3 linked regions of the Danio rerio genome follow. The protein of the gene in region 1 interacts with the protein of each later gene in a pairwise test. Links are inferred from orthologs where the notes say so. Each region holds a gene or a part of one and is shown in the gene's direction. Other genes may lie near its edges.

Evidence for each region.
Region 2: the proteins of ift20 (region 1) and kxd1 interact in binary tests that used the Homo sapiens proteins (3 or more experiments, as listed by UniProt). The two-hybrid records come from large-scale screens. The link is inferred for Danio rerio from reciprocal best matches to the Homo sapiens genes IFT20 and KXD1.
Region 3: the proteins of ift20 (region 1) and nup54 interact in binary tests that used the Homo sapiens proteins (3 or more experiments, as listed by UniProt). The two-hybrid records come from large-scale screens. The link is inferred for Danio rerio from reciprocal best matches to the Homo sapiens genes IFT20 and NUP54.

The regions. Positions count from the first base shown.
Region 1 is NC_133190.1:26,248,473-26,256,161, forward strand, and holds the start of ift20 (intraflagellar transport protein 20 homolog), read left to right. Parts: upstream 1-3,397; 5' UTR 3,398-3,457; exon of another isoform or gene 3,458-3,461; intron 3,462-6,723; exon of another isoform or gene 6,724-6,727; 5' UTR 6,728-6,767; coding exon 6,768-6,894; intron 6,895-7,004; coding exon 7,005-7,090; intron 7,091-7,159; coding exon 7,160-7,263; intron 7,264-7,689. Other genes in the region: cell cycle checkpoint protein RAD1, read right to left, coding at 254-352, 1,645-1,903, 1,978-2,086, 2,170-2,364. UniProt on the Homo sapiens protein: Part of intraflagellar transport (IFT) particles involved in ciliary process assembly. May play a role in the trafficking of ciliary membrane proteins from the Golgi complex to the cilium.
Region 2 is NC_133200.1:21,950,753-21,958,304, forward strand, and holds the start of kxd1 (kxDL motif-containing protein 1), read left to right. Parts: upstream 1-2,444; 5' UTR 2,445-2,700; coding exon of another isoform or gene 2,701-2,795; 5' UTR 2,796-3,447; intron 3,448-3,863; coding exon of another isoform or gene 3,864-3,891; coding exon 3,892-4,016; intron 4,017-6,335; coding exon 6,336-6,382; intron 6,383-7,552.
Region 3 is NC_133196.1:121,966-129,786, reverse strand, and holds the start of nup54 (nucleoporin p54), read left to right. Parts: upstream 1-2,713; 5' UTR 2,714-2,728; coding exon 2,729-2,765; intron 2,766-2,990; coding exon 2,991-3,083; intron 3,084-5,108; coding exon 5,109-5,186; intron 5,187-5,604; coding exon of another isoform or gene 5,605-5,733; intron 5,734-6,212; coding exon 6,213-6,296; intron 6,297-6,619; coding exon 6,620-6,757; intron 6,758-7,821. Other genes in the region: bxdc2 (ribosome biogenesis protein BRX1 homolog), read left to right, coding at 232-305, 621-671, 1,640-1,741, 1,813-1,941, 2,124-2,375. UniProt on the Homo sapiens protein: Component of the nuclear pore complex, a complex required for the trafficking across the nuclear membrane.

The DNA.
Region 1 (7,689 bases):
TTCTCACATCACTAGATGTCTGTTGTCAAGCAGGGATCATAGACGACCAGGCACCATATATTGAAATGTGGAACAATTGCAAACATTGACCAAACTAAAGTACAGGTTCATTATGTTTGGCATCTTTAGGTGAACAAAATGGTCATCTGAGTTCTAAGTGAACCTGGATTAACCATATCATTTTTGTTTTTGATCTGGACTAAACAAAAAGAGAACCAAAAGGCAACTGTGAAAAGTTAGTCTGTTTTGCTACCTGTTGGTCTGTATTTTTGTACACTGGAACAGCTCCATCATGTCTGAGTCCTTGGGATAATCATAATGGGCATTTCCAGAATTACCAAATGTGGATAATCTAGGAAGAAAAGGAAAAATGTTTTTAAAAGCTTTTACAAGCACGAAAGCAAAAAAAGTACAAAGCAGCTTCAGATCATTTTTCCTTGCACATATAAATGTGTCCTGCTTTTATTCTGAGTCAAAAATAAATATTTTTCACAAAATTATATGAATTAATAACATAAACACTTAACCTACATTATATAAAATTACATTTATTATTTTTCTATTTGAACCATATATTCAAATAAATAAATTAATTAAAATGCATTAAATTAGTTAATAATAAATAAATAAAAAACAAACCGCAAATTTTTTTGTTTGTTTTTTTCATTTGTTAAAAAAACCCTGAATGCTTATATCATATCACCAAAGGTTTAAAAGTGGAAAACATATTCTGACCTGCATTTATCAAAATAAATAACGTTATCCTCAAATAAATGCTTTTCATTTGAGCTTTCCATTAAACAAAAACTGTATCAATAACCATTTCTAAAAAATCTTATACTGTTCTTAAATAGGAAATCAGTGCATTTGAATGATTTCTGGAGGATCATGAGATGTGGAAGACTGGACACATTGTGCTGGAAGTTGAGCTTTGCCATCACAGGACTGAACAGCATTCTTAAATATCACAATGCAAACACATACTGTAAATTGTGGGAAGATTTCACAAATGTACTGTGATTTTTCAATTTTTTATAAAAATAAAAGAAACCTTGTAAGCATTTTTTTATCAGATGGAAAAAAAATAAACATTTAAATTAGAGATGTCAAGATCAATATATATATATATATATATATATATATATATATATATATATATATATATATATATATATATATATATATATATATTTGTTTTTTTTTAACACATATATTGTTATGCGATGTCACAGAGTTAGACCTCTTTCTTAACTTCACACAGAAACAGCAGCGTTGCCTGCTGAGTATTTTAAGATAAGGTGCTTTTTGGTTTAATATTAGATTTTTTAAATATTTAATGTTGCACTTAAGTCCAAAAGTGAAGAATTTATGTTACTTATTACTTGATTGTTCAAGCTACCTCACAGAAGTGATCTTTGTTAAATGTTAAAATACAGTGAACTAAATAAAAAATAAGGAACATACTGGATTTATTTCTTTGCTCTTCTTTATTTTTTTAATGCATTATAAAAGTATCAGATCGAGTTTCGGTATTGGCAGATACTCAAAATCAAATGACTCGGAGGCAAAAACAAAAAAAAAAACGTGATCTGGACATCCCTTATTTAAACCACTTCAAACATGTCATGTTCATAACTACTGTACCTGAAGTAAGGATGGCTCGGTGACATGGTAATCTGCAGAACCTCACTGGTCATGTCCAGCTCAGAGAAAGCCTCTTTAAGACTGTCCGACTGCAGAATCACCTTGTTGGTCACGTTTGTACTGCAAAAGTCAAAGTCTATGGGCTCCTCGGGCTCCTGTGTGTTAATCTTGCATACAGTGACCACACCACCTTCTTCCAGGAACAAAGTTAGTGGATATCCATATCCATTGTAGCACATTCTCAAGGCGGTGCACACACCTTAATGATAAAATAAAAACAAAGATTATGTTACATTTCCCAAAAAAAGACTGGATCACAATTGTAATACACACCTGGCACTGTGCTTCCCCCGAAGATGGTGAGGCAATCGAGAAGAACAGTTAAGTTAACCTGAAAGCCAACTGCATCCTCTTTGATGATGTATTCTTGAAAGATGTCAGCCTGATGTCAGAAAATACACAAATATGCTTAAAGATTCAACTGTTCTCAGCAGAAAGTGTCTGAATTTGTCTGCTAACATCAACCTGAATGAATGCATTGGCCTGAAGGCATTTGGAGTCCTCAACTGTGACTTTCAACCCATTCTGTGTTGCATTGAAGATGGCATGATCCTTGAAAGAGATGGCTTTTAGGATGTTGGACAGATTCCTTGCATTGTCCAAACTGGCTATCAGGATGTACTGGTCAACATCGGATTGGGACTGAGTTGACAGAGGCATGTTATTACATCTGTAATGACATTTCAAAGTAGAAATGTTAAATAAATAAGTAGTAAATATTGTATACAATAAATTCACAGAAAAGTTAAAATATTAAATTTAATTAAAGAATGTAGGCAGTATTTGGTCCAATAGTTTACAGATAACAATCGTTAAATGGAAAAAAAAAAACATCAAATTTGCATATCAGATTGAAGTTTTAACATTTTCATATTTGTTTTGTACTATTTTTTCTAACTTGTTTTGTAAGTAAAACTAATGTTGTTTAAATGTGTGCTAGAATGGCTACTATGTTCTATTTTGAATGCAAACATAATCATAATTGTCAATTATAATACTAAAATATGGAATCCATAACAATTAAAAACAAGTTAAACACAGAAAAATGTATTGTCGCCGTCTTTTATTAAAAAAACGAGATATCTGAATGTTAATTTTTCTAATGAACTTGAAAATGTCTTTAACAGAAACATGAACAAGTTTCTATCAGCTGTTTACAAATTGTGACGAGAATTAATAAACATAATATTGGCAACTAGTTGTAAGTTACTAACGTTACTAAGTTAGTTAGCTAAAATGGCGTCAGGCCGTGAAAGGGCGAACATTAAACATACACAGTACATGTTCCTGTTGCTGAACTCACCTGTTAGATATATGAAATATGACAAATTAATATCATTTTAGAGTTTGGCGCCCTTAAATTGTTGCCATTAGCTCTTCTTCTTGTGATTTTGACTAAGTTTAGCTTCCCATCAGTTGTCTCGCGCGCGCATATGGGTCTGATGCAGAACTGCAGGACGAGTTCATACATAAACGTTTACAGTATTAGGAGGGGGTAGGTTTTTAAAGTTGGCTATGAATTTGTGTTACTACACTATTGCAAAACAGATAACATAACCGCTTATTCAGTTATTTATGAGACATAAGGGTGTTTATTTAATTTAAAGAAGGCGAGATCTCAAACATAAATATATTTAAGATGCACTCGTACACCCCTCCGTTTCATCACGAGTTGGACGGGCCGTCGCCAGACAGATGCGAGGAAGCGGTCGGTCGGTCCAACAGAAGTGCCACATAACCAAACAAAAGTCAGGTAGGGTTATGACATTTACTAGTTTATTTTACTTTATAAAGTGCCATTTTGTTCAGTAATTGTAAATATTGTATATACAGTTTAATAAGATTGTGGAGTTCCCAGCTGGTTTGTTTGTTTGTTTGTGTTTATCTATCTCAATGGCAACCAGACCATATCAGCAACAAAGCGAATTTTGTGAACAATAGCATCTCTACCTCTTCTTTTAAGTAAACATACTCTACGCTTACGTGGTTGGTGCAATGTAACGACTGTGGTAGTTTCATGTAACGTTACTTCAAATGAACCTGCTACGTTAACTAGCTAATCCGTTAGCTAGCTCATTGTGAATTGGGATATGCTTTATTGCAAGAGATTGTCATGATGGAATCAGATTGTTTTGTTTATCATTGCTAAAGCATTTATCACGTTATATTGTATTATCTTCGTGTGGTGGAATAAAGAGTTGCTTTAACATGTGATAAAAATAAGTTTATATATATATATATATATATATATATATATATATATATATATATATATATATATATATATATATATATGAGAGAGAGAGAGAACTATGATGTGCAATATAATAAAAAAGGTTAGGTTAAAAAGGAGTGTTTACATGATGTCACGGCAAAATTTAAATGCTAGTAAGGCTGTTAAATATTTAGGGCATGTCATTACAGAAGATATGAGTGATAAAAAGTACATGTACAGGGAACGTTTAAAGTTATATGTTGAAGCAAATTTGCTAGGGAGAAAGTTTTCGGAGCAGGTTAAAAGTTAAACCTCTTTAGAACTTATTGCAGTTCTTTATACACAGCTCCTCTGTGGTATAATTAAATAAAGTGTCCATAAGCTCCAGGTTGCATACAATGATTGTATGGAGATTCTCTTAAAAACATAGATGGTGTAGTTAGGCATGGGCCGGTATAGGATTCTGACAGTATGAAAACCATGAATAAAAAATATCAGTTTCACGGTATTAAGATTACTGCTCTGAAATATATTCTTTTTAAATGTCTGGGTAAAAAACTAAAACTTTCCCCCCTTTGAACACAATATTTATTTTTCAAATATTTAGGAGCAGTTAACAAATCAGACTAAAAAGTTCAAATGAATCCATGACTTCTGCTGTCTTTATTTATTTTAAAAACACTTAATTCATTACAATTTAACAGGTATCTTTGAATATTTTTTTCTGTTGGAGATACTGTTGTCCCAAAAAACAACAACAACAAAAAATGTTAATGAAAAATCTTACACATACCTTAGGAACTGTATAGCAGAAAATTATAGCAGTTTTAAAACCTTGACTTTTCCCAACTATGGTATACCTTGAAAACTGTTATCGTCCCATGCCTAGGTGTAGTACAGGTGAATTATTTTGTGATGTAAGAGTTTGATCATTTTTTGCTTTGGATGAGAAATTTGATCTATAAGTTTATTTGTCGATAAGAGAATTCTCAGAATAGCATTTTAATGTTAAACCCTAGGCTTATGGAGGTGCTTTATCAGTCACCTTTAAAATATTGGCATAACTGTATTTTTTAACGTATTGTGTGGTTTATATTGTCTTTTGTACTATTGGACCTAGTGTCTAAAAAAGATTTTATATATATATATATATATATATATATATATATATATATATATATATATATATATATATATATATATACATACATATATACAGTATATATACAGTGAGAACATTAAATATTGGGACATCAACACAATTCTAACATTTTTTGCTCTATACATCAACACAACGGATTTGAAATTAAGACGGTCAGTTTAAATTTGAGGGTATTTACATTCAAATCAGGTGAAGACTTCCAGACTTCAGGATGTAATTGACTGCAAATGATTTGCAACAAAGTATTAAAAAGTTAAAGTTTGATTCATGATTATTATTCTATCCCATTACTTTCGATCCATTAACGAGTGGGAGGCACATATGCAAACTGTTGTAATTCCTACAGCGTTCACCTGATTTGGATGTAAATACCCTCAAATTAAAGCTGACAGTCTGCAGTTAAAGCACATCTTGTTTGTTTCAATTTAAATTTGTGTTTCTGTATAGAGCACAAAATATTAGAACTGTGTCTTTGTACAAATACACACACACAAACAATGTATATGTCAATATAGTTGTATACTGGCCCGGATTGGCTAATCTGGAGAATTCCGGGAGGGCCAGTCCATTTTTTTTGGCCACTAGGCCAAATTTTTTTTTATTGACCATAGCCTCACTCTTTTTATTCATTATTTGGCGCAGCTCCGCTCTTTTTATTTATTTTCTAGCAGCCCCGTGAGCAAAATGCAGCCTGCAGGTTAATGATGACAGCAGCGCCTAAGTGAATATAAGAATTCAAATAATTAATATTAGTGAATATTACACCTGCTCAATGAAAATCAGATGATTCAGTACATTAATAAATCTGACATAACTTGATCAGAAATCTAAAAAGAGGAGAAAAAATGGTCAAATGGTCCGCACGTTGCGTTACAACGCTGCCAACCCGAGTTCGAACCTCACCTAAATAATCTTTTTTTTTTTTTTCTTTTCATTTTTAGTGTTAGTATAATACTGATTGGGTTACTTATGTAGGTGTACATATTTTATTTTTTGTGTGACCGCCCTTACAAAGGACTGGATATCTATAAAGAATTTTGCACAGAATATATATTCGGATATTGCAGGAAAGGACGTTGTAAAGAATAGTGTTGGAGATTTAGCTATCCCTTTAATCTTCTCATATTTATGAAAAACATTTGAACTTCTAAAGCAGCTGTGTCCTTGAAAAAGATTGTATATTGTCATTAGAAACTAAATTAGAAATGACGTTATTTTAATATAGTCAGTCGTGAACTGAGGTGGGCCGGTCTAAGGCTTGAAACTCCAGGGCTAAAAAGCAGTCCCACTCCGGCCCTGCTGGTATATAAATGTTCAGAGCAAAACATCGTTTCAAACTAATTAAATGACATTTTAGCCATGTTGTACATCAGATTAACGCGAAAAAGTTTTTTAGAACATCATTGCAAAAGCAGCAAACTGAATATTCTTAAAATGCATTCTGAAAGTTCAATAACAATAAGTAATTATTACTTATTTTAAAGTGATAAAGCATGTATGTTCATTATCGTTGTGATATATTATTGAATACTGGCACGTCTAGACATTTTACTTTGCAAAATCAACACTGTATTTGTCAGTATTGAATACAATAAAATTATGCATATTTTTCTTTTAACATACTTCTGTTTCTGTATAATTATCAGCCATTATTGAGTCACACAGGCAGGTTACGGTCCTCTGGTCATGGCTAAAGACCCGTTAGCAGAGGCTGGTCTTCATTTTGATGAGCTCAACAAACTGCGAGTACTTGAGCCTGATGTGAGCCAGAAAACAACTGAGCTCAAAGAGGAATGTGAGGAGTTTGTCGACAGTAAGTGTTTTTTATTTTTTAATCTCATTGTGAAGTTTATCTCTCTTAACTGAATTTCTTTGCTTTTTGCAGTCCAGATCAATAACTTCTCCTTTTGCTTTTGAAAACAGAGATCGGACAGTTTCAGAAAATTGTAGGTGGACTTATTGAACTTGTGGATGAACTTGCGAAGGAAGCCGAAACTGAAAAAATGAAGGTACGTTGTTGTTTTAAACTATTAGCAGTGCATATTTGCGTTTTGTATTTATATATGGTTCACCTTCAGGCCATAGGGGCAAGAAATTTGCTGAAATCGGTTGAAAAGCAACGGGAAGCCCAGCAGCAACAGCTTCAGGCTCTGATTGCAGAGAAGAAAATGCAACTGGAAAGGTAAATATGATAATACATCATAATACATCATTATGGTCTGATATTTTTCTTCAGTTCTATTTTTCAGTCATTTTTCAGTTACTGCATGGTAATTTCCAACTTGTTACTTCTAAAAGAGAACAAAAGAAAGAGCATCACCATAAATCTATTACAGCATTTGCATTGGCATGTGCACAGTGCTAGTTAGCAACTAAATACATGTTATCTGCATTACGTAATCAGATTCTGAAAGTTAGGTTGTAACTTGGAATTGAAGTATATAACATTTTAAAATAATGAAACATACTTACATACATACATACATTTTGGACTCCTCCTTTTATCTTTCACTCACAGCAAAGTAACTGTTGGAGGGGCGTGGTTAAGCATATATCACCCAAACTTGTGTAATCAGAGGTGTAGATAGTAAGTGGTCAGAATTTAATT
Region 2 (7,552 bases), on another chromosome or scaffold:
CTTGTTTAAGAATTAATTTTCTTTTCGACCTAGTCCCCTCATCAATCCGGGGTCGCCACAGCGGAATGAACCGCCAACTTATCCAGCACGTTTTTACACAGCGGATGCCCTTTCAGCCGCAACCCATCTCTGGGAAACATCCACACACACTCATTCACACACACTCATACACTATGGACAATTTAGCCTACCGAATTCACCTGTACCGCACGTCTTTGGATTGTGGTGGAAACCGGAGCACCCGGAGGAAACCCACGCGAACGCAGGGGGAACATGCAAACTCCACACAGAAACGGCAACTGACCCAGCCGAGGCTCGAATCAGCGACTTTCTTGCTGTGAGGCGTCAGCACTACCTACTGCACCTCTGCATCGCTGAATCTTGTTTAAGAATTTATAACGTCCAAAATATCAAATAACAATAATTAACCTAAATCTATATGAATTTATCTATATAATATTTTAAAACACACACACAAAGACACACACATATAATTCACTCTGAAATAAATCTTGCTGTCTAACTTTTCAGTTAAATCAAATTAACTAGCTGTAGTCGTCATCTCAACTCACACCAGTTAAAAACTGGCTAAAAATAAAAGGTTAAATTGTGTATGCAGTTAAAGTCAGAATTATTAGCCCCCCTTTGATTTTTTTTTTCTTTTTAAATATTTCCCAAATGATGTTTAACAGAACAAGGCCATTTTTTCAGTATGTCTGATAATATTTTTTCTTCTGGAGAAAGTCTTATTTGCTTTATTTCTGCTAGATTAAAAGTAGTTATTAATTTTTTACAAACCATTTTAAGGTCAAAATGATTAGCCCTTTTAAACTTTGTATTTTTGATAGTCTACAGAACAAACCATCATTATACAATAACTTGCCTAATTATCCTAACCTACTTAACATTATTAACATAGTTAAGCCTTTAAATGTCACTGTAAGCTGCATAGAAGTGTATTAAAAAATATCTAGTGAAATATTATTTACTGTCATCATGGCAAAGATAAAATAAATCAGTTATTAGAAATGAGTTATTAAAATTATTATGTTTAGAAATGTGTTGAACAAATCTTCTCTCTGTTAAACAGAAATTGAGGGGAAAAAATAAACAGGGGGGTCTAATAAATCAAGGGGGCTAATAATTCTGACTTCAACTGTACATTATGTATAATGGTAGTGTTCAGTGACAAGATCCATTTAGAAATAATTCTGTAATGCCAAACATTATACACTTCAGAAATCAATGCCATACAGCTTTATTAACTTATTTAAATAAGTTAAAGTAACAAAATATTGTTGACTTTTGTCATATCATTTTTACATTGTGTATAATAAACTGAAATCGAATAATATAATAAGCAATCTTCAAACAATATATACTATTAATACAAATAAGTTAATTATGCAAATGTATATTTTTACATAATTAAAATGTATTAAAATCAATTAATAAAAAAGTATTTCTTAAAAATGTAATAATACAGTTTACATATAACGCCATTTATATTAATAGGTTTAGAAAATGCTTAAATAAACTGAATAAATTACTTCCACTATTCATAATAACATTTATATTTATAAATAGAAACTAATATTTACCGAAATATAAAATACAGGCCTAATATATATATATATATATATATATATATATATATATATATATATATATATATATATATATATATATATATATATATATATATATATATATATTCATAATATCCATCTCATGTGGTGCATATAGTACTGAAGTCATTTTGGGATACTGTATTCTTATTTTATATTGTATGTTAAAACAAATTAAAACAATATTTTAAAGCCCTTTTTATTTATTTATTTTTTTATTGCAATTTTAGAACACAGAACATACAAAGGGAATAAAAACATTATGTTTACATAAAAATAAATACAACATAAAACAAAAATAAAAAAATACAATTATTCAAAGACAGCATTTAAGGCTTTAAGATAATAATAGTATAATAATAACAGTTCTTTTTGTTTGGTATTTTTTGTTTCTTTTATTGTCCTTGTCCTATTTCTATTTTTAAGTGAGTAAAATTAGGTTTTTCCACTGCACATGTACATTTATGAATAAAAATATTTCCATATATAATTAGCAAATTACAAAACACCACATTATAAAGTAGACAGTATTCTCATATAAAGAATAAATAATCTTTTTCTTTGAATTGAAAAGCAATATTCATAACGTTTACCAAAAAAAAAAAAAAGATAACACCAAAACAACTGTGTATAAATACAACCATAACATAAATGAGCAATACTCTCTTCTTTATCATCACAGAAAGCGCATTATAAATCTACATTTCATTTTAAAGCCCTTTTAAACCCCTCTTTCTGTCTTTCTGAACATCCAATCAACGCTAAGAAAACCTTCTAGATGCCGCCTCCCAAATGCGTCACGATCTCTCAGCGATCATATGACAACACCACAACAAAAATGTCTGCCTGCATCTCAGTCCAGTAAATGTTTGATCGTTTTAGGAATACAATAAAAGTCTGCATACATGCAAAACCTCCTGCATCAGACTGCGACGCTTTAGAAACAAACAAAGTCAGACGAAAACTAGTCAGAAAGCGAATATTTTAGCACGTAAGCGATTACACTCGTCTGTATCGGTTTATTATTAGCATAACTCAATAAATCTCGTGCTTTGCTCTCGAAAAAGTTCAAATGGAGCCCACAGCTTCGGGAATATTCTGTAACAGGATGCTCAGTATGGTGAACTCTGAGGATGTGAACGCCATCATTCAAGCCCAGAGACATATGTGAGTATCCCTGTCTAGTGAAATTGAGGTAAAATTCGGATTATATTCACACATCCAGACTTTCTCCTTAACAGTATAACTTCAGAAAAGTGTCGTTTTCAAATTCTTAACAGTGGAATCATATTAGCAGCCAATGACTATCAAAATGCAACATTGTTCACAGTCAAATAAATAGTGCTAATGTTGTTTTCAAGTCACACCAAAGTCCCTGTAAGGCATATTGTATTCTATGTATTCTATAGTCTTTGTGATTTCATATAATTCATTTTCTTGTCGGCTTAGTCCCTTTATTAATCCGGGGTCACCATAGCGGAATGAACCGCCAACTTATCCAGCAAGTTTTTACGCAGCGGATGCCCTTCCAGCCACAACCCATCTTTGGGAAACATCCACACACACATTTACACACTCGTACACTACGGACAATTTAGCCTACCCTATTCACCTGTACCGCATGTCTTTGGACTGTGGGGGAAACCGGAGCATCCGGAGGAAACCCACACGAAGGCAGGGAGAACATACAAACTCCACACAGAAATGCCAACTGAGCCGAGGTTCGAACCAGCGACCCAGAGACCTTCTTGCTGTGAGGCAACAGCACTACCTATTGCACCACTGCCTCGCCCTGATTTCGATTATTCAAATTACCACGGTAAACATAAGGAAATTGAGGTAAAGTTGGTTTTATATTTGAACATTCTTTCAGTGATCACTTGTGATATGGTCCCTATATTGTTTACCATGGTACTGGTAAAACATTGGGTCTGAAATCCTGTGTAAGAATGACTTCAAAACAACATAACCACTATTTATTTGACTATAAACAACCTAGTCTGATGCTCATTGACTGCTAATATGTTTCCACTATTTAGTATTCGCAAAGAGTAAGTTTCTGAAATTATATTATTAAAGAGAAAGTCTGAATGTGTGAATATAAAACCAACTTCACCTCAAAATATAGGAAGAATGTCACAAGTTGAATTTAAAACCAACTTTAACGTACCTAAATTCTAGTAAAGTACCTAAAAAGGAAGCTGTTTAAAACCTGTTTTGATGCATGTCCTACAGGCTGGACCGCTTTGAGAAAACCAATGAGATGCTGATCAACTTCAACGGCTTGTCCAATGTGCGCTTACAGCAGATGAATGAACACTTTCTGATGCACACCAGGACTTTGATAGAGATGAAGAAAGACTTGGACAGCATCTTCAGAAGAATAAGGTGTTATGTTTGCAAATTAAGATTGAATTGAGTGATGTTTAGCAATGAGTGTGTTACCATATTTTACTATTTTGTCATTTAAAATGCCATTAAAGTAACTTTTCACAAATTAAACTCAACAAATTAGTTGAGTAATATTACATTGTAAGTCAGTACATTATTTAAGTGTAAATAGAAAATGTACTCTAGTTTTCACCTGTGTATAGGGGAGAGCGGGGCACAAAGTAACACTTTTTGGTTTTGGCCAAATAATGAACAAAGTAATGGAGTTAGACAAACCATCTGAATTCATACGGTCAAGGAAAACCTGGAAAAGTCGTAGTATTTTGACATGCCTTTTTCAAGGCTTGGGAAAGTTTGGGAAAAAGAGAAAAACCCACAAAGTTTTGGAAAAATCATGGAAAACAGAAATCTTTATACTTGAATATAGGTTATTTACTGCTTTTCTGTCCTTTGCCAGTCACATTCTCACAATATTAGTGTGATGTAAGCATTATCTGAATCAATTTTACATAGATGTAAATATAAATTAAAACTTAATAGGTTGTTGCTTGTTTTACGATATGCTGTAATCAATTTGAACCTGCATTGTTTTTCTTTTACCATGCATATGTAGACATTGCATGAAACATTAAGGTCATAAAAATTTACTTAAAAGTTTTGGAAAAATCATGCAAAAGTCATGGAATTTTAGTAGTAAAAATGTGTCTGAACCCTGAACCATTTATTTTTACCAACAACACACAAGCCTCTCCTACCAATGAGCAATGGTTGTATGATTTTCAGACCTATGGTTTCTGTGTATTATTGCCAAAAGTGCAGGGAGTAAAAATGTTACTATTTACCCCACATGTGGGGCAAGTTGTAACAGACAGAGGGTTAGTTGTAACACATGCTTATAAAGTCAGCTCTCACACAATTTATTTAAAATCAGTTTATTTAAATAGTAGCTATATTTCCTCAGTACATTGCTCAGTTTATTTTTATTCAACATAGCACAATATGTTTATTTATTTATCTGTTGGATAAAGACATTTGGATTTATTTCATTATTGTACATTATTATACAATGCACTTATTTGCAGTATTAGCTATAAAATAAATTTTTTTCTATTAAAAAATATTTTCTTTTATAAAACATTTTGTATAAAAAGTTCTGAACATTACACTCAAAAAAAAAAAAATATATATATATTATCAGTCACAGTTTTTTTTTTTACATCTTTCAAAATGGTTCCATCTTTCAGCCTAGAAGAAGGTAATCACAGCAATATAAGATTTTACTTGCATACTTACACAGATTTTTTTTTTAAATAAAAAATACCAACTAAAAAAAAAAAAAAAAAACTTTTATGCTGCAAAAACGGTTTCTCCTGTATTTCTCATTAAAATTTCCCTGAAAGTTTTCAATAATTGGCAGGAAGACATTTGCCGACCGACACTGTGGTGAAAACTTCGGAAGCATGGCATGGTTAACCCTGCGCAAATACCTTGTTTTCTATTTTACTCCACGTTACTTTGTGCTCTGCCCTCCCCTATTAACCATTTAACTGCCTGCTCATCCAAATGGTTGACCATATATTTACTGATTTTAAACAATGACTGTTAAAGTCATTCAAGAAATGACTGTTTTAAATAATGGTTCACACTACTACACTTGATTTTGGTTTGATTGCAAAAAAACAAACAAGAAAACATGTTAAATGAGAATCTAAAATATTTTATGGTATACTTAAAAAAAAATAGTATTCAAATTTTTCAGAAATCATTCAGAAATGTTTTATTTTGAATCTATTTTTAAATAATCAGTCTTACACTTCATATTTTCCGATTTTTCAAAGTATATTTATTAGTTCTGGTACTTTTACCATTAACCAACATATCTACCATTTGGTAGATGCTGATACTTTAGAAATGATGGGATGTGTTTTGCATTGAGTGCATTACTAGTGACATTAGGAGTTAAGAAATGCAATCCAAAACATTTTTCTTAGTGGGGCAGTTAAAGTGTTAAATAAACAAGTAATAAGTGATCATACTAAATTGTATTCATATTTTAAGATTTTTTTAAAAGAGTATTACTGACAAATTGGTAGCTAACAGAAGGCAAAGTGTAAAGATTTAAAATGACAATTAATTAGTATTTTTTGCTCCACTGTGAGCCCTAAACAGAGTCTTTTAATATGGCATGACTTAATTATTGTTCTAAATGTGCATGAAAAGATTACATTTTTGTAAAATATGGTAAAATGTATAGACATACTTTTTTGCTCAGAAAAAAAGGCTGCATAACGTCTAATATATTTTGTGTTTCCTCAGGACGTTAAAAGGCAAGGTTGCAAAGCAATATCCAGAGGCCTTTAGCAGTAAGTATTTATGTGTTATTTTTTTGATTGGGATGATGCAGTATTATTAACACTGATAAATCTTAACATTCAACTATTTACTGTATTTCTTGCATTACTAGTGTGTGGTCAGGTAGAACGATGGCTCAGTGGTTAGCACTGTCGCTTTACAGCAAGAAGGTCTCTGGTTCAAGTCCAGGCTGGGCAAGTTGGCATGTCTGTGTGGAGTTTGCATGTTCTCGCCATGTTGGCAGGGGTTTCCTCCACTGTCTAGTTTATTCCACAATCCAAAGACCTGGTAGAGGTGAATTAGATGAACCAATTTTGGAAGTTTCACATTCATTTTCGTCATAGACATTTATTAAGAACCCTATATAAGCAATGAACCAAAATAAAAGAAATACCTGAATATCAAAAGTTACTTAAAGGGATAGGTCACCTCCCCAAAAAATGTCATAATTTCTTCACCCTTCACTGGATAAAAACCTATATGAGTTTATTAATTTTTTTCTGTTGAATAAACAAAATAAGATATTTGAAGAATGTTGGGGTCCCAGCAAAATATCTTTTTTTTTTTATTCAACAGAAAAAGGAAACTCTTAAAGGTTAAAAACCATGCGAGGGGAAATATCCATTTAATTGCTTTAATAAGAATAAAAACTACAACCCGATGAAGCATTGCAATTGATGAAATCAAATTGAAAAAAAAAACTCTTGATTTAAAGCTGTTGCTGGCTTCTATAGAAACAACATATTGTCAATTTTGCACATTTATACAAATATTTATTCTGAGAGTGTTATTCCTGGTGCTTTATAGAAGTAAATAAAGCACAGCATCATGGGTAATGTAGTTTTTCTGCAGTTTTGCTGTTAATCATGATTTTTTTTATTAGTTATTGTGTAAAACCTTTAAGTGCTGTCAGAAATTTAAATGGAAAATGAACATTATTCTTAGCCTACTTTGTTTATGTGAAGTTATTTCACTTTGAAAACCATAAAAAGAACTTATTCTTTGTCATAAAAGTGAAATTACTAAACCTACACAGGACCCTGATGAAAATGCTGAAAATGAAAATTTCAGAGGTTATTTAAGGTTTTTGCAAACTTTTCATATCTGAGAACTAATGATTTAAAATTGGAAAAAAAATGTTTATGCTGTCTAAAAATGAATATGAACATGCCTGAAAACAT
Region 3 (7,821 bases), on another chromosome or scaffold:
CACACACACACACACACACACACAGGGTCTGGGCTATACTGTGCATCAGTGTGGGGGTTTGCTGAATATAATTATGCACAATTAATCAGTGATTACCGCAGTGCGTGTGTGTGTGTGGGTGCGTTCGTGTGTGTGTTTGCATGTGTGTTTGCGTGTGTGTGTGTGTGTGTGTGTTTGCGTGTGCATAAGTGTTGAAGTGTTTGAAGAGCAGCAGCTTTATTTCTCTCTCAGTTCACACTCTGGCGGAGCTGAAGATGACCGGGAACTGCCTGAAGGGCTCCAGACCACTGCTGTCCTTCGACCCGGTGCGTGTGTGCGTGCGTGCGTGTGTGTGATGATGATGATGATGATGTGCGTGTGTGATGATTGTGTGTTCAGTATAATAATGATGATTGTGTGTGTGTGATGTTGTGTGTAGTGTAATAATGATGTGTGTGTGTGTGATGATGATGTGCGTGTGTGATGATGGTGTGTGTAGTGTACGAATGATGATTGTGTGTGTGTGTGTATGATGATGATGATGAGCGTGTGTGATGATGGTATGTAGTGTAATAATGATGATTGTGTGTGTGTGTGTGTGTGTGTGTGTGTGTGTGTGTGTGTGTGTGTGTGTGTTTCAGGCGTTTGACTCGGAGCCGCAGTACGCACTGCTGAAGGAGCTCTTCACTCAGGTGCTCTTCAGTGTTTGTCCTCTGTTCTTCATCTCTTCCTCTCTGATCTTCCTCTCTGATCTTCATCTCTCTCTGATCTTCATCTTCCTCTCTGATCTTCCTCTCTGATCTTCCTCTCTGATCTTCATCTTCCTCTCTGATCTTCCTCTGATCTTCATCTTCCTCGTCTGACTCTGGCATGTAGGGTTGCAGATGCTGGATGTGTGGTTGTAGTCTGAGGAAGACTCTGTCATGTGTAATGGCGCTGCTGTGCTGCATCAGCTGGTGACAGTATAGAGCTCTTCACTGCGGCTCGCTGCCTGATGCACAGCAGACCCAGCAGCATTTCCCTGTGGACTCAACAGAAGACAAGAGTTTCTGGCATTTAAACATGAGGAATAATGTGTTCACTGAAAATAAACGACAGATCAATCAGTCAGTCAGTGAGCACAATAACAGCTGTCTGTATTATTGATGTGGTTGTGAGTATTGGCCTGTAGAGAGAGTGTGTGCAGTCGCAGGCTGCATTAGGAGTGTGTTTGCTGTTCATCTCGTGTTTCTCTCATGAGCAGTAATGTGTGTGTTCCATATGAAGGATGAAGCTGATTGGTCCATTCTAGTCACGTGATGCACAGTGCGCTCGCACCGTTCTTTTAACCTGGTGTGCCTGGAAAGCGTGAGCACATCGTGCCGCTCACGAAAAAGCAAACTAGCTTGTAGAAAAGACGGCATGTGAGAACAGCCCTCAGTGATCAGCCCCCGCCATAGCTACAGCCGCCTTTAATCCAGTGTGTGTGTGTGTGTGTGTGTGTATTCGCCCCAGTGTACATGCTCAGGACTTAAACTAGCGCACAGACTGGTTTAAACTGGCTTATAGCTGGTCTAGACTGGTTTATAGTTGGTCTAGGCTGGTTTATAGCTGGTTTAGACTGGTTCAAACTGGTTTGTACTGGTCTGCAATGTCCACTAACACTGCTCGTGTCCTGCAGGTCTTCTCCACCCCGCTGCACCACCCTAAGAGTCAGCCGTTCGTGGATCATGTCATCAGCTTCAGCATTGCAGACCACAGGATCTGGTTCCGGAACTATCAGGTGAGGTTCTGCGGTTCTGAGAGGATCTGCGGTTCTGCGGCGCTCCACTGACCGCTGTTCTCCTGTTGCAGATCGTGGAGGAGGACGCCTCGCTGGTGGAGATCGGCCCGCGCTTCGTCCTCAACCCCATACGCATCTTCCAGGGCAGCTTCGGCGGACCCACGCTCTACGAGAACCCACACTTCCAGTCACCCAACGCGGTCAGCAGCGCACACACACACACACACACGCACGCACGCACGCACGCACGCACGCAGCACTGTCTGCTACTGATCTGTTATTGATCTGAGTGTTAATATTGTTTTGGTGTGTGTGTGTGTGTGTGTGTGTGTGTGTGTGTGTGTGTGTGTGTGTGTGTGTGTGTGTGTGCGCGTGTGTGCAGCACCGGCGCATGCTCCGACTGGCTGCAGCCGCGCGGCAGAAGGAGCGTCAGATGGTGAAGCAGGTGCGGATGGAGAAGCGGATGGAGGAGTGTGTGCTGCTGCAGCCTGACCTGACGGAGGCCGTGTTCAACACCCCGGCGGAGCCCAAAGCCCCACGGCCGGAGGCCCCGGGGCCCCAGAAGAAGAAGAAGAAACGGCTGACGGAGCTGAAGAAGAAGACCCTGATGAAGAAGAAGGGCCTGAGTGTGTGAATCTGCACGAGTGTGTGTGTGTGTTCATGATCATCATGGTGTGTTAATAAAGATGTTTTATTAATGTTGACGGTTGTGTCTCTGTCTTCATGTCGTCTGCTGACTGCAGCACATCCTGAGCCGCAACTGAATAACGGCCAGGTTTAATGTCCCAACATGGCGGACTCTGAGTGCAAAAGCACAGTTGAACATTTGAGCGGCGCTGTTCTGCTGATGAGCTCCAGTTTCACTTTAATCTATATCAATGTTTTCGCGCGCTACGCCGGAGGAGTGTGTGACGCGACGCTACCGGTAGGAACCTCTTGTTCACAGCTTTTGTTTCCGGGCGGACCGTTTCGCTCAGGACCGGAAGCATGGCGTTCAACTTCGGCGGCGCGTCGGGCAGCGCGAGTGAGTAAAATTAATCTAAAACTATTAATAATGAACATTAAACATGATGACGGCGCTGCAGGAGCGCTGATACTGCTGTAAACCTGATACCACTGTGCTGTAAACCACTGGCGCTCATCTCATCTGCTCTGTGTGTGTGTGTGTGTGTGTTTTCATTACTGTGCGGCTGCTGTTGTGCGTTCATAACTGTGTGTGTGTGTGTGTGTGATGGTGATGATGATGAAGGCGCTCCGGGCTTCTCATTTAAGTCATCTTCATCCACTCCGTTTGGTTTCGGCGCCTCAACCACAACCACCGCCAGCAGCGCCACGGGCTTCGGTAAACACACACACACACACACACACACTCTCCCTCTCTCCCGGGCCTGTGAGGTAAAGCTAGTTTAATATGTTCAATTTGTGATCAGTGACGTTTTTTGATACTCTTCACTCCAGTATACACTACAGTACACACTACACACTCCAGTATACACTACACACTCCAGTATACACTACAGTACACACTACACACTCAAGTATACACTACACACTCCAGTATACACTACAGTACACACTACACACTCCAGTATACACTACACACTCCAGTATACACTACAGTACACACTACACACTCAAGTATACACTACACACTCCAGTATACACTACAGTACACACTACACACTCAAGTATACACTACAGTACACACTACACACTCCAGTATACACTACACACTCCAGTATACACTACAGTACACACTACACACTCCAGTATACACTACACACTCCAGTATACACTACAGTACACACTACACACTCCAGTATACACTACACACTCCAGTATACACTACAGTACACACTACACACTCCAGTACACACTACACACTCCAGTAACACTCCAGTACCGCTGCTGTGCTCTGCAGTATTGGCTGGTAGCAGGAGTTCACTGTAGAGTCTGCTAGTGAGCTCTGTCAGGGGTTGTGTTGGGGTGAAGGTCTGCATGTGTCACCCCGCCGGTCCCACACCACCCAACCTGCACTGAGCTGGGATCAAACCGGCGACCTTTCGCATGTTAAGGCTGATTTATACTTCTGCGGCAAACGGTGGCGTATGCTACGCCGCTGACCAATAGCCATTCGCCGTGGCCATCGGCGTCGCTGACGTGCACCTCTCAAAAAATGTAACTACACGTCACAACAACGCGTAGCGCAAGCTCTGTGATTGGTCGGCTTGGTATCGCTGACGAGTCTGGGCGGGACCGAGAGCCGCGCGAATGTTTACAAGTGAAGGAGCTCCGGATGGAGAGTTTTGTTCTGTGTTTCCCTCATGGTTACAGTTGCTGCACGTCCGCCGGTTCCTGCCTCAAAATGAGCGAGTTTGAGCCACTTGTACATCCAGGAAGTGTTCAGGATAGCAAAACAGCAGCGAAGAAACTCGACACAGAGGAACATTTACACCTCACTGCCCACTAGTGCTTCAGAAGTGTTAATGCAGACCAACAGAGCTAGCAACAGCAGTATAAGCACAGCTACACGCGTTACATGCGCCGTGGGTCACGCCGCTCACTTGCTGCAGAAGTATAAACCAGGCCTTACAAGGAGGCGAAACACCATGGCCTCTAGTGTCTGTCGCTAGAGCACCTCTAGAGGTCGGAGGATCGAGGTTTACCTGCACAGCACTCACTAGCTGACCTCCATTACACATAACAGCAGCGCTCCCCCAGTTCCCTCCTCAGCACACACACACACACACACACACACACACACACACACACACTCTGCTCTCGTCATCTGCACTCTGCATCTGAGTGGTGTGTGTGTGTGTGTGTGTGTGTGTGTGGTCAGGGTTCTGCTGGTTGTTGGTTATATTGACCTGTCACAGTTCAGTCAGAGTGAGTTGTATGCTGTAATGATGACGGGGTCACTGTGGTTAGAGAGATGTGCTGCAGTTCAGCTGCCGTCAGCAGACCACACCGTCAACCCTGCTGCTCTTCCTCCCGCCGTTCTCCTGTATGTGACGGTTCTGTCCCGATATCATCCTGTAAAGCTGTTTCTCTGGAGGCTGGCAACAAACATCAGAGCCGATCCTCCCTATACACAACCCAGACTGCTGATCCACCAGGGGGCGCCGCTTGCTCTTCACTGCGGGTCTGTTCTGTGGTTTCGTTATGTTCAGGCATGAAAACAGTTATAATTAACTATAATAACAGCAGGATTCCCTTCCTCTCCATCACAGACAGCATCGCCCCTATACAGTCCTCTAATGCAGTATAGCACACAGCCTTCATCCTCATCATCAGTAATGTTTCACTGCGCGTGCACACACACACACACGCACGCGCTGCTAACATGCTGTTGCCATGGTTACAGGTCTGACCGGAACCGGCTTTGGAGCGCCGACCACCACATCAGCTTCCACAGGCTTCGGCTTCGGCACTGGTGGCACGGGTGAGTGTGTGTGTGTGTGCTGTCTCTAACACACTGACTGACTCTCTTCTGTGTGTGTGTGTGTTTGTGAGCGAGCACGTGTGTGCGCATACGTGCATATGCTGTCACTAACCCACTCTCTCTCGTGTGTGTGCGCGTGCGTGCGAGCATGTGTTTGCTTGCGTTCACGTGTGTGCGTGTGTGCTGTATCTAACAAACTCTCTCCTGTGTGTGTGTGTGTGTGTGTGTGTGTGTGTGCGTGTGTGCATGCGCTGTCTTTAACACACTCTCCTGTGTGTGTGTGCGCTGTCTCTAACACACTGACTCTCTCTCTCCTGTGTGTGTGTGTGTGTGTGTGTGTGTGTGTGCGCGCTGTCTCTAACACACTGACTCTCTCCTGTTTGTGTGTGTGTGTTTCTCCTGGGGCCGCTGTGGTCAGGATTCGGGCCCCTGGTCTGCAGTGCGGGCCCTGGCCCCGCCCCCTCTGCCGCTGCTGTTAGTTTCGGCGGGTTCGGTTTGGGCCCTGCGGCCCCGGTGTTCAGTTTCGGCAGCGGCCTCGGGGGAGCAGGTAGATGAGCTCCGAGAGGTCAAAGGTCACGCATGATCAGATCACGCCACGCCTCCATCCCTGTGTGTGTGTGAGAGAGAGAGAGAGAGTGACAGACAGACAGACGTAGTGTGTGTGTGTGTGTTGGTGCCACTCTGATCATGTCATCAACAGTTAGTGCTCATCATCTCCGGTGTGTGTGTGTGTTTTCATCTTGTGTGTTTTTTTCGTCTCTGTTGTGTGCGTGAGTGTGTGTGTGAGTGTGTTTTTCATCTCCGGTGTGTGTGTGTGTGTGTGTGTGTTTTCATCTTGTGTGTTTTTTTCGTCTCTGTTGTGTGCGTGTGCGTGAGTGTGTGTGTGAGTGTGTTTTTCATCTCCGGTGTGTGTGTGTGTGTGTGTGTGTGTGTGTTTTCATCTTGTGTGTTTTTTTCGTCTCTGTTGTGTGCGTGTGCGTGTGTGTGAGTGTGTGTTTTTCATCTGTGGTGTGTGTTTGTCTCCAGCAGGAGCGTTTGGCGGGTTCGGCTCCACCACCACCTCCGCCGGCACTGGGTCAAGCTTCAGTTTCTCCACACCGGCTAACACAGGTACAGGCGCACACACACACACACACATACAGAGAGAGAGAGAGGAGAGATGCTGCGTCCCGTGCACACACACTGCAGAGTTACTACACACACCTCACACACGTCTCTAACACACACAGTGTTAGGGTGTGGTGTGTGTATCTGAAATGGGACACTGTGTGTGTATGTGTGCGCATGCGTGTGTGTGTATGCTTGTGTGTGCGCATGCATGCATATGTGTGTGTGTGTGTGTGTGTGTGTGTATGCTTGTGTGTGCGCATGCGTGTGTGTGTGTGTGTTTGTGTGTGTGCTTGTCTCTGAGCGCGTCTCCTCTCCGCCTGCAGGTTCGAGTCTCTTCAACACCCAGAGTAAGGGCTTCGGCTTCTCCAGCGCTCCGGCTCCGGCTTCAGGCTTCACTGGGGCTCTGGGTGGAGGAGCTCTGGGCTTTGGAGGCTTCGGTGCGCTGCAGAACACACAGCAAGGTGAAGTCAGAGCCACACACACACACACACACACACACACACACACACACACACAGAGCAGTGGAAACAGCTGATATTCTGCATAAAGCACATGGAGCTGGAGTGAATGACAGTCCAGCAGAGGAGTCTGTTGAAGCAGGAGTGTCGGCCGGCGGGCCGTGAGAGAGATCTCCATATTACTCTGTATTTCTCGCTGCATTAGATGATGTCAGTCATGTGCTCAATCCTGCTCTCTGATTGGTTACTTCAGAACTGGCTGCAGGATGGGCCTCATGATGGCGCTAGCGCACGCCGCTCTGCTCATTCTGCTCTTTCACTAGCTCGCAGCGCGTCACGCAAACCCCGCCCCCAAAACATCCCCCGAATTAAAACGTCACACAACCCGCCCACTTCAGCGGGAATCAGGCAGATAAAGCCCACCACATCATCATCATCAGGAGAGCATTAAAATAAAGACAACCCAAACACACAAACGACCCGTTACTGTACAGCAGCACATTATACGTCTATACACACAGACCTGTGTTCTCATTCATCATAGTCATTTACTCATCGACCGGCTGTTGGCATCGAAATCCAGTGGTCTCGCCACTAACGGAGGGACCCAGCGCAGGGAGCGCACACATCCATAATATAACACCACATATATCAAATTCTCCACTAATAACTCGATATAAAATGTGTTGGATAACATCCTCTAGACAGAATCTGTCCAACATTCAGCCCAAACGCTCCGGAGAGAACTGAAACATGATTTTCCCTGTAGGCTTTATGACAGTTAATAGGGGATTCGCTTTATTTAAAGATGTTGATTATTATATCTGAAGTAAAGGAAAGTGTTCAGCACATAAGAGCAGCACGTAATAAAATACAGCCTGTATTGCGTTGCGCTCAGCAGCTGTGCACTAATAAAGCTCTTTATGTATTTAATTTTCCTTTTGTAATTTCTCCACGTCATATAAACACACACACACACTTGTTTGAGGACACAGAACACATGTTGTGTTTGCAGTTTTCCCCGATGCGTCTGTAAAGTGCTGCGCAGCTGCAGACAGAAGAAAAGG